3 linked regions of the Mus musculus genome follow. The protein of the gene in region 2 purifies or fractionates together with the protein of the main gene of each other region. This does not show direct contact. Links are inferred from orthologs where the notes say so. Each region holds a gene or a part of one and is shown on either strand. Other genes may lie near its edges.

Region 1 (3,644 bases), on a different chromosome or scaffold from region 2:
GACTTCACCCTTTGCCCTGATTAGGATGCACTCCGCGTGCTGCTTAATACAATCTGCCATCAAATGCCAAGAGCTTCAGAACTAAATTGGGAAATATGTCCAGCTCCACAGAGCGATGCTGAGAGCACTAAGTGGGGCTCCGGATCCCTTTATGAGACACGAGCTCATCGACAGCATGGTGTTCGCCCGCGGCAGCTCTGCCTCTAGCCATCCACCCTGAGAGCACATTCAGGCAGCAAAGAGATTAATAAAGGTAGTGTGCTGTTATAAATCGTTACGGAAACAAAAGCACTGCTGATGAATTCCAAACTACGTGACAAAACCAAGTTTTAGGAGGCTGCTGGACTATCAGGGCCATGTTGAGGGCTGTGTGGATGCATGGCAGTGTGAAACGACGTGGTTAAGACACTTCTGCCTCTTCTACTGTCAGCTGCCATTCAGTGACATTTATACTCAAGTCTGAGAACTAAGAACGGACATCAGAGACTCAGAATTCTTTTCTGCTCTAAGTTAAAGACCTCCGAGCAGCCCTTCTTGCTGGGACACTGGGAATGATTCCTGCACCATCATCCCTGCCCGATGCAATGAGCATGGCCCTTAGAGACAACATATAAGCCTCAGCTGCTCAGCCCCGCTCACCAAACCCAGAAGTCATGGTCCATTCCTCATTGCCTAAGAGAGGTCAGACAAGTGTTCCCCAGAACCATGGGCCCCAGGAGTATCCAGCAAGCAGCGGAGAGGTGCGCAGCAGTGCACTCACCACTCTGCACCATGACACTGGCCTAAGTGCTGCTGGCACTGCCACTCCATGTGGGGAAGCCTTCCAAGCAGAGAGATACAAAGTATAAACTGAACAACAAAGTCAGGCAAAGCCCCACCCTCCTTCCCAGCCGCAAAGCCTAGAGAAGAGGCACCCAGGAAGTCTGTGGGGTGGGCGCTGTTACCCCTCAAGAATATCCTCAGGGCAGCAGGTTTGACCCAGTGAGTCCTCAGAGAGAAGCTTACCCTGTAAGCACTGGTGCAAGCCACACTCTTGCAGAGTGGGTGGAATGGTGAGGCCACACATACGGCCTGATCGATGCCAGAAAGCTCTAAAACCCAACCAAACAGGAGCAGGGGGCTCTGTGATGTGTTACAAAGTCACCCCAACAGGCAGAGACAAGGAGCAGTGATGCAGAGTGCTCTAGCACTTACCCATGATCATCTTCCTGAGGCGGGTCACTCATGAGAGCCCTAACTGGCCTGGACTCCTTATGTAGATCAGGCTAACCTTCAAGACAAATATCTGCTTGCCTCTGCTCCAGGGTGCTGGGATGAAAGGTGAGAGCTACCACACCCAGCTCCACCCACACTTTACAGAAAGAGGGCCCATTTCACAAGGATGCACAAGAAATGGACAACACCAACTTGGCTCCAAAACCAAATGACAGGCAGTAGCTGACAGGCTTGGGGAGGAAGCTCCTGCCCTACACTTCCCATATCTGAAATTCTCAATCAGGAGTCCGAACAAAAGTACTCCAGGGGCTGGAGCAGTGGCTCTGGTTCAAAGTACTGGCTGTTCTGCGAAGGACCTGGATTTAGTTCCCAGAGCCCACTTGGTGGTTCACAGCCATCTGGAACTCCCATTCCAGGAGTTCAGTGCCCTCTTCTGGCCTCTGCAGGTACTGCATGCTTAGTGCCCAAACATACATGCAGACAAAATACCCTCACATATATATATATTAAAGTGTTTAAAAATCTGTTTTAAAGTAAAGGCAAAAATACAAACTAGAAACTTTTCTTTGACTTTGTATAGCCAAAGAAGATGCTGGTAAGTGCTGTGTGGCACCTGCTTTGCCCTGCACATCGAGCCCAGGAACAATGGCTGCATGAGGGTCCAGGTGTACAGAGCACTGACTCCCCCAGGCCTGCCAGCCTGCACCACCGAGGGCAGCCCTGCTTCCAGCTCAGACAGACAAGCTCTGTAGAGGGCTTATTAACACCGAAATCTGTGTGTAATGCTGTCTAACACTCCACTGCCAGCCACACACTGATGTCGTGGCTACCTGCGATGCCCACAGGACCTGCCAACTTAGTGGATGAAGGGTGGACGCCGAAACACTATTACTCAATGTTCACACAGCTGTGGGCCTAAACCACCAGTGTGGTCAGCATATGGTACAGAGACATCGTCCAGTGACCAGAAATAGCACCCTTGGATACTCCTACAGGCTACAGAGTTAAGCCCCTGATTAAAATCCATCATAGTGTTTGGATGTCAGTGGGCTTTTATCATGGCTGATCAATAGTGGACTGTAGTTAAGCCCCAGTCCTGTATCAGGTACAAATGAAGTCAGATCAAAACTCTCTGTTCTCACAAAGCCTTCATCTGAGTCCTAGCTATAAAGAGCAGACACATGTCAGTCGGCTGCTGGCCCGTGTCGGTTAAGCCATGCACTAGAGGCTCAGTGACTATGTGCTTGTGGACTCTGAATTGGCCGTATGCATTCAGATGGCACTGAAAGCGCCTGTGCTGCTCATTAGGCTGCTGTGAGCCGCCTACCAGCAGGTTTGCCTAGAGCTATACACACGGGGAACTTACGTCTGTGCCTCTGGACTATGAGCTCTAAGCACAAGCTGGAACTCTACAGCAGGGAGCTGGGGACATGAGAGGTGAAACACTGCCCAAGGTACACTGCTAGGCACAGAACAGGTCACATACCATGACCCTCTGTCTACAAAGATCCATCCTCAGCCTCTGTCTGTCTGTCTGTCTGTCTGTCTATCTGGCGTCTACATGGACACCTGTGTGCAGCGGAGGAGGAACTCCGTCTCGTGCTCCATTTCATTGCTTGGACATTTCTGTCTTGCTCATACACTGCCCTGAACCAGCTGAAAACAAGAGCATTCAGAGTGTTAACACACTACTTGTGTGGTGGTGCACATGGCTCCTCCCAGCACATCATGAGTTCTAGGACAGCCTGGGATATGCGAGACCCTGTTTCAAACAACCATAACCAAACCAAACAAAACACAAAGTGCTTCATTTTTTGGCTGCCTTAAAAACCAAATCTATACTCTTCCTTGTTAATGTATACATGCCACTGTTTCCATACCTTGTTTCCTTCATACACCCATCCTAGACTCTTCACTCCAAAGGCAACCTGGCTGGCTGAGACATCCAGACATGTGGCAGGCTGGCCATAGACATAATGAAGGGTTCTGGCTGAGTCGTCGGCCTTCAGCAGGTACACCAGATCCCCGGCTGTGGCTATTGCCACAGGGTACCTCCCAGTATTCGGAACTATTTCAAGGTAGTCAACCTGTGGAGAGAGGAGTTGTTTAGTGCCCCCCAGTCATCTCGACTTGGTCTGTACAGTCAAGAAACAGTTGAGCACAGGGACCATTTACAGGGATGGGCATGGCTCCTGTCCAATGAAAAGATGCCTCTAACAGTGAAAACCAAGTGCACTCTGAGAAGGGAAGCCACGTCCCCCCGACTCAGCACAAGCAAGGCTCAGGAAGCCCGAGGACACAGCTGGAGGGACCAGGAGATCTAATCCAGTCCAACTCCTGCTAAGGGAAGGATGGCAGCACTTACCATTGGTGTGAGCTCACTGTGACCCAGGAGGTCCTTCTATCAGGGCTACAGAACCTGCATGGCA
Region 2 (3,644 bases):
GTGATTCATGGCCACTCTGTGCTGGGAGCTGAGCAAGACAGTGTGGGAAGTAATATAAAAACCAGGCGCAGTTAGAGAAACGAGGCCAAACCGATGGGAAAAGCCTTCCTGGCCCCTGGAGCTCTCAGCCACCGAGTGTGTGCGGAGCAGGTAAAAAACCCTTACTTCTTTGATTCAGCTGTGGCCCCCCCAAGAACCAGTTGCAGGGTTGGTGTTGAGATGTGTACGCCCCCAGCCCAGACACTTAAGAGGGCTGGCAGGGGATAGAGAAGGCCTGAACTTTGCTGACCCTCAGTAAGAACAGCTTGGAAACCGAAGGCATCACTTTGGGAAACTCATTAACATCACGACCTTTGACCCTTCTAACACCTCCTGTCCCCAGGACCTCTGATAGGAAGGAAAGTCCTGGGAGTCCCTCACTCCCTCACTTAAAAGCTTTTTAAAATTTTTTTTGAATTTTATGTGTCTGAGTATTTGCCTTGCACGTACGTGTCACACCATGTGTGTGCATGGAGCTAGGAGGAGGTTATCTGATTCCCTGGAACTGGAGTTACAGACAGTTGTGAACTGCCCTGTGGGTGCTGAGAATGAAATCTGCGTCCTCTGCAAGAGCAGGGGACCCCCTCCCCTTCCTCTTGAGGGCCTGGCTGGAAGGAAGTCCACAGAGCTTGTTCCTGTTTGCATAAGGAAGCACGGGATGGACTAATAATTAATACAGTGGGTTACCAGCAAGGACACTGAGACAATAGGAATCGGTGAAGAGCCAGGATTCTCAAGGACTGACTACCTTGTGCCATTTGGACTTGTGAACTTTGTGAATGTACTACCTATTTTAAAAAAAAATTTTTTTTTCATTTTAAAAGCGAGAACACCAAGATTCTGTTGCGTCCTCCAAGCCTCGCCCGGAGCAGGGAAATGGGGTCTACCTCACTGGTGTCCTCCCCATCCCCCAGCTTCTCCCCAGAGTGGGACAGGGTTACCTCTCGGTCAGTATTGGGGGACCGAAGGCAGGTCACGCAGGCATCCATGGCCTCGTGCCAGGGTAGCAACAGCGCCTCTGGGAAGTTCACCAGCTGCATTAAGATTCTAGAGGGAGAGACAGAGCCGGAAAGGTAGAAGGAGATCAGGTTGGCGTGAGGCCTTCAGGTGCCCAAGCCTGCCCCTCACTGCCCCCCACCTGAGCACAGTGAGGTGCAGGGTCTTGTTGCTGGCGGAAGTGTCCAGGCTCCGCATCAGAGCGAGGAAGGGCTGGGGCTGCTCCTGGAGCTGCAACAAGCAGGACTTGACCTCAGTTTCCTGGGGAGCCTCGGAGCCGAGGGCTTGTTCCAGTTCCACAAGGACCTCCCCTTCGGGGCCCAAGCTCTCCACCAGGCGCTGCAGGGCAGGGCTGGCACTCTGAAGTGGGGGATCTTTGGCTGAAGGAACAAGAGGGTGGTAAGAATTGGCAGCACTGCCAAAAAGTGGTGGCATACATCTTTAATCCCAGCACTTGGGCAGCAAAGGCAGACGTTTTTCTGAGTTCGAGGCCAGCCTGGTCTACAGAGTGAGTTCCAGGACAGCCAGGGCTACACAGAGAAACCCTGTCTCGAAAAAAGAAAGAAAGAAAGAAAGAAAGAAAGAAAGAAAGAAAGAAAGAAAGAAAGAAAGAAAGAAAGAAAGAAAGAGAAAGAAAGAGAAAGAAAGAGAAAGAAAGAGAAAGAAAGAAAGAAAGAAAGAAAGAAAGAAAGAAAGAAAGAGAGAGAGAGAGAAAGAGTAAAAGAGAGAAGGGAGGGATCCAGGTTCAGTTCCCAGCATCCACAGCGCAGCTCACAAGGATCTAGAACTTCAACTCCAGGAGAGCCAGTGCCCTCTTCTGACCTCTGTGGGCACTGCATCCATAGGGATAAAATAAAATAATTTTCTTGGGGGTGGGGAGAGTGGGAGGGGGCTTGGTAGTTTTGAGAAAGGGGTTTCTGTGTAGCCCTGGCTATCCTGGAATTTGCTCTGTAGACCAGGCTGACCTCAAACTCAAATATCTGTGTGGATCACCACACTCAGCCAAAATAAAATCAATTTAAATAAAAGAAAGATAAATGACAGCTGAGGAATGACATCTGTAATTATCCTTGGGTCTGGACATACAGACACACACACACATGCACATCGTAAGTTTCTGGGATTGTGGGTAGGGTATCTCTTTCAGACAAGATGGCACACTGTTAGAGGAGACACCTCTTGGAGGACACTTTCCCAAAGGCAGGTCTCTCTGCTGCTGTCTGCAGGGCACTCACCTTCAGACTCTTCATTGGCTCCGAATAAATTTGGCTGGGCACCTGGCACAAATGGGTAGCTTAGATGCCCTACCAGGACTTCGGGCCCATACTTCCTGTAGACACTGCAGCTGAACAGGTCCCTCAGAGCACTGTCCTCAAGTTGCTGAGGCAGAGACAACAGCAGATCCTGGGCCAAGTCAACGGGCACGGTCAGCTCAGGCAGCATATCGTAGTCCAGAACGCGCTACGGGGAAGAAAAGTCAGCCTGTCGCAGCTGAGCGAGCAGATCCTCGGTGGGAATGGGGGTCTCTCTACACACACACATCAACCATTCTGAACCTCTTGTGGCTGGCAGCCCACCGACCCTTGCATCTCTGAACATTCCAGATCCCTCCGTGGTGGGCCCCTGAAGCTGTCCGACCTCCGTGCTTCACCTCCCGAGCGTCCGAATGTTCCGATGCAGACTTGCGGGGGACACTTCTGAGGGGTGCCTACCTCCTCTTCCAGGTGGTCTTGCAGGAGATCCACGATGTGAAGGCGCTCTGCCTCACTCAACTGCCGGATGAAGAAGAGGAGCTCCCACCACTCAGCCTGGGTCAAGTTCTCGCTCTCTTCCCTGTCTTCCTCCTCGGGTACCACGTAAGGCTCGGCAAAGAGCTGAGTTATGGGCTTCCAGCGCTGGGACGGCGGGACTGCGTAGTAAATGGTATGTGGCAACAGCCAAGTCACGGCCTGCCCAGGTAGGTCTATCTCTCTCTGCTCAGAGCCAACCTCCAGCCCAGAGCTCACCGATGCTCAGTGCTCCATTGGCCCCTAGCTCCTGTAACTCTTCAATATCAATCACATCCTCGATGTCTTCCTCAAAGCCCAAGATCTCCAGCATGTGCCAGTGCACCCAGTAGGTATGGCCTGTTGAATCCCACAACACCTGGAGGGTTGGAGGCAGGAGGAAAGGGAAGGGGAAGAGGACCTGCTATTGACCAGCTAAGGCCCATAAGGTGACCACTGTCTATAGACTATATAGACTATATATGCAACAATGTATACAGTATACAGACAGCCTCACCTTCCTCCTCAGCAATGCCCTTTACTTCCTTATGCCCTTTAGTCTAATTTCATTTTTCCTTTCTTTCAGACGGGGGTCCCAAACTGACCTCAACATTGCTATGTGGCCATGGCTGGCCTTGAACTCCCTATCTTTCTGCCTCTCTCTACCTCTGGGATTACAAGCATCCTACCACGGCCTGGATCCTCTCTGTCTTAGATACCATGGCTCAGTACTTCCATCTGGCCTCAGAAAGCCCATCTTCCAAATTCTAATCCATCGGTTTCTTCTTGGGTCTGACGCACCTTTGCTCCCATATTCCAAGGGCTCCGTGTCCTTTGGAACTT
Region 3 (4,288 bases), on a different chromosome or scaffold from region 2:
ACCGGGGTCCTCTGGAAGGGCAGCCAATGTTCTTAACTCCTGAACCATCTCTCCAATCTGTGATTGTAATCTTGTTCAACAAAAACTAGCTTAGGTAAGAGTACTGTAGTTCAAATCTTAGCCCTGATGGGCCTGTAATTTGTAACAATACTCCTGCCACTGCCTTTCAAATGCTGGGATTCCAGGCATATACCACTATATCTACCTTCAAAGGTCATTTTCTTCCACTATTTTTGCCTTTATGGCTGTCTAAGAAGGAAATAAAAGGCAACTCTATCTACACCCCATTTTAAATGGGATCTTGCCTGATTTACAATGAATAATTCATTCTGAGAGCAAGGTACGCCTCCAAGACATTGTTTTAAGAAACAACTTAACCGGTGGTGGTGCACGCCTCTAATCCCAGCGCTTGGGAAGCAGAGGCAGGTGGATTTCTGAGTCCAAGGCCAGCCTGGTCTACAAAGTGAGTTCCAGGACAGCCAGGGCTACACAGAGAAACCCTGTCTGGGGGGAAAAAAAAGAAAGAAAGAAAAAAAAAAAACCCACAAAAAAAAAAAAAAAACCCCACAAAAAAAAAAAAAAAAAAAAAAAAAAAGAAAAGAAAAGAAACAATTTAATTCAGGAGGCAGAGGCAGGTGGATCTCTAGTTCAAGGCCAGCCTGGTCTACTACAAAGTGAGTTCTAGTAGAGCTAGGGCTACACAAAAAACTCTGTCTCCACAAACAACCACAAAACAATCTACTTCAAACACACCAATGGATGAGATACACAAGTGCCTAAGGGTTCTGAGCCTGCTTTGTATTCACTGGTAAAGAAGACAATTGGGCACACCAGGATGACCACCATTTCTGTAACCTTCTCAACTTCTTCCCATCTGCCCCGAGTTACTTACAAAGATCCATAATGTGGTTCCTGCAGATGGCACAGTTATCAACCACAATGTCCCAGGCCCAGAGGGCCACTGCATTCCACTGCAAGGAGAAGAGGGGAAACAATGCATTTTCCTTGTAATCTAACAGCTCATTAGGACTTCAGCTTGCAGCTTCAGTTACCAACGCCCCAGCCACAGGGCCTACCAAAGAAAGGATGTTTTTGGATTATACTATTTGGACTATATCAGAGGACAACAGCAGACCACCTGTACACTTCCCCATTCCTTGAAAGATGAAGTATATGAACATGGGTATCTTCAATTTTTTATATATAATGTAAAATAATTTAGCTAGCCAAACCAACGTGAGAATATTAGTACTATTTTCTGTACAGCTTTCCCTGACAGCTGTGGAAGAACTCAAAATCTGCATAAGCACGGGCTCTCCACAAAGTTTTGGACTCAGAGGCAAGGAAGTGAACAGACTGAACTAAGATAATAAATGGACCACTAAGTGGATAATCACAGGATAAGCTGGATAGCAAGTTACCTACCCAGTTTCAGTACACAGAACGAGGTCATCACTTAAACCTTAAAAGAGCACTGCAAGCAAAGTAGAATCCACTGCGATTTTCTTTTCCTCTTACCAAGTAAACTGATGTTCTCAACGTTCATATATCCAAACAATTACTTTGTTAGCTCCAGTAAGTCGACCTAAGACTTCTTATGTTAGACAAGGCACCCTTTTCAAGGACTACTTTGGTTTGACTTTCCAAATTCAAGCATAAGAGTTTAGTAAATTCTACATTACATTTTTATTTTTCATAATGGCTGCAGGCTGTAACTGAGCAGCAGTGGCCACAATGAGATGACACAAAAAGGGGGTGGGGTGAGGGATATTCTCAGCGACACGTTCCAAAAATAATCCATAAAAAGAAAACACCTTGCCCTCTTCAAGATCTTCATTTTTAACAGATCTGTGTAATCTTAGGTAGGAATCAACACTTTTAAAGGACTAGCAAACTATGAAGGGGAACGGCATACAAAAGGACGTTTCATATTTTTGTTTTTCTGTTCTCAGGTCATTAGCAATTAGTACTCCACCTTCTTAAATGGCACAAGTTCTGGGCTTGCTTTTAAAACAAAGCCCACCAGGCTTTTAAATTATCATTTTGTGTTAGAAGTGTACAGGGACATCAGAGAACCACTGGAGTGGCAGATGCTATGTGACAACTAGTAGCCATCTCGTTAGAACCAAGCTTTACACTTGACTGTGGGTTTAGAGGCCAATGGAGGCCGCCATACAATCGAGGGCCCACGCCAGGTCCCTCGGAGTCAATAGATTCTAGGATCCAGGAAGGGGCGGAGCAAGAACACCGGCAGAGCCCCTCTGCGCTGTCATCTCACGTTCCCGGGGTTCTCCGCACGGCCCCATCCTCCACCCGCCGCAGTCTCTTCACGAGTCTGCATCCCACCCACCCCACCCTGTCCTTCCCCCACCTCTCAGTCACTTCAGTGACAGCTCAAGCGCTTGGCTCCCGCATCGAAGTCAACCTCGCGTATTTCAGTAAGCAGCTCTGCGATTGGCCCCACAGCTTCCCCAGCAAGACTAATAGGGCCCCAGACACTGGGCCACCAGCATGCCGATCAACCCTAGGCCCGCCCCCCGGCTTCCGTTCTTGGTGCCCGGTCCCAGGAACGCCCTGAAATGAAGCCCTTTCCCCCGCGCCTAGCTCTTCCTCGGGCCTGCCAGCCATATCCGCGCCTCCCTAGCTTCCTTGAGGAAGGCGCTGGCGAGCCCAACCTTTTTAACTTCAAAGCGCTTCTTGCCCGCGCCGCTGTTGGTGCCGCTGGGGGTATCCACATCCATCGCCGCCGCCATTTTGGAAACACACAGTCTGTCGTGTGACCACTGCGCCTGCGCACCGGCTCACTTTCCGCCGCCTGCCCCGCACACCAGGCGCCTCCTCCCGCACCCCTCCCCTCATTGGCGCGAGCGTGGAGAAGGGGCGGAGCCTGCGGTCACGCCCCTTAAAGGCGCAGGCGGAGGTTTCCCGCCCCCCTCCTCCCCATCTCTCTCAGCTGGGGAGGAGGCTGGAGTGATTGAGGCGGGGCCGGGCGGGGCCGGGCGGGGCCGAGAGAAGGGAGCCAACCGGTGGGAACGTCCGTGAGGTCTCGATGCTTCTCGCATTCTGGGAAGCCCTGTGGTCTGACTCCTTCATTTGGGGCGGCGGCTGCTTCCTTCTTCTGCCCCAGGACTTAAGCCCTGGTCCAGATCCACAGAGCTGCCCCCGAGTCCGTGGTTGCAAAGGGCATGGGCTGGTCTTTGGAAACCCGAAACTCCAAACCGGCCTTCTGCTGACCGTGGTCGGCTTCGGAGCCAGGCGGTGTCTCTCTGGAGGCCTGTGGCCCGGCTTACCAAGGCCTGGTCACCGTCTGCGTTATCAATTTCAGATTGGGAAATTATTTGATAGGGAGAGAAGAGGCCCAGGAGCAAACAGAGCAGGCATTCTGCAACTTTGCCTTTATCTTCTCACAGGAAAGGTGATGGGGATGCCATAGTAAATCCCATAACCAGCCAGTTCTAAATGGTCCTCCTTTCTCCTCATTTCCTATCGAGTTTTGCTACTGTGCTACGATTAAATTAGTACATTTGTAGTGGCTGAACTTGAGTTCTGGTGAGGCATTCTGATTTTCTTACCGGTCATTACCATCGAGCTACAGAACACATACGTTTTGTAAGCTTCCATGATTAGTCCAGCCCTCCGCTGTTTTGTCTCCTAAATTTGCGGAGTTATGACTAGAATACATCACCCTTGAATTTCCTGTGTGTTCTAGTTCCCTCAACAGTACAACAAAAAGGGTTTTACCGGAAATGTGCCCCTCCCCCCCCCCAGAAAGGGTTTTTCTCTGTGTAGCCCTGGCTGTCCTGGAACTCAGGACTGGACCTAGGCCGGCTTCGAACTCAGAAATCTGCCTGCTTCTGCTTCCCAAGTGCTGGGATTAAAGGCATGCGCCACCACTGCCTGTCCTGAAATGTTCTGTTAAAAGAAATACTTGCTGGTGTGTAATGCGGTGTGTCATTGATGCACTTGCTAAGCAGGGCAATACATCCTGAATACCACCACAGTTTTAACTTGCACAGAGACTTGTGAGAGCCCTGCAAGGTGTGTGTGTGTCTGCCCAAGTTCTACCTCCCACACTAAATCTGTCATTGGTCTATGTGTCTACAGACCCCCTAAGGGATGCTAGAAACCCATAGTTAATTAAGATACTGAGGACATATTTATCCATTCGTCAACAACTATCCTGAGTATGTTACTTCGTCTTTTAATTTTTGGTTTATTATTATTATTATTATTATTATTATTATTGAGATAGGGCCTCACTCTGTAGCCCAGGCTGGCCTTGAAATCT

Evidence for each region.
Region 1: the proteins of Cul7 (region 2) and Fbxw8 purify together in Homo sapiens (affinity purification with western blotting; 12 studies listed by BioGRID and IntAct, with this or other methods). This does not show direct contact. The link is inferred for Mus musculus from reciprocal best matches to the Homo sapiens genes CUL7 and FBXW8.
Region 3: the proteins of Cul7 (region 2) and Rbx1 purify together in Homo sapiens (affinity purification with mass spectrometry; 9 studies listed by BioGRID and IntAct, with this or other methods). This does not show direct contact. The link is inferred for Mus musculus from reciprocal best matches to the Homo sapiens genes CUL7 and RBX1.

Annotation. Positions count from the first base shown.
Region 1 is NC_000071.6:118,089,401-118,093,044, forward strand, and holds part of Fbxw8 (F-box/WD repeat-containing protein 8), read right to left. Parts: intron 3,303-3,644; coding exon 3,096-3,302; intron 1-3,095. UniProt on the Homo sapiens protein: Substrate-recognition component of the Cul7-RING(FBXW8) ubiquitin ligase complex, which mediates the ubiquitination and subsequent proteasomal degradation of target proteins.
Region 2 is NC_000083.6:46,653,286-46,656,929, reverse strand, and holds part of Cul7 (cullin-7), read right to left. Parts: intron 3,181-3,644; coding exon 3,042-3,180; intron 2,945-3,041; coding exon 2,748-2,944; intron 2,497-2,747; coding exon 2,271-2,496; intron 1,416-2,270; coding exon 1,178-1,415; intron 1,087-1,177; coding exon 981-1,086; intron 1-980. UniProt on the Homo sapiens protein: Core component of the 3M and Cul7-RING(FBXW8) complexes, which mediate the ubiquitination and subsequent proteasomal degradation of target proteins. Core component of the 3M complex, a complex required to regulate microtubule dynamics and genome integrity.
Region 3 is NC_000081.6:81,464,838-81,469,125, reverse strand, and holds the start of Rbx1 (E3 ubiquitin-protein ligase RBX1), read right to left. Parts: upstream 2,811-4,288; 5' UTR 2,754-2,810; coding exon 2,676-2,753; intron 972-2,675; coding exon 893-971; intron 1-892. UniProt on the Homo sapiens protein: E3 ubiquitin ligase component of multiple cullin-RING-based E3 ubiquitin-protein ligase (CRLs) complexes which mediate the ubiquitination and subsequent proteasomal degradation of target proteins, including proteins involved in cell cycle progression, signal transduction, transcription and transcription-coupled nucleotide excision repair.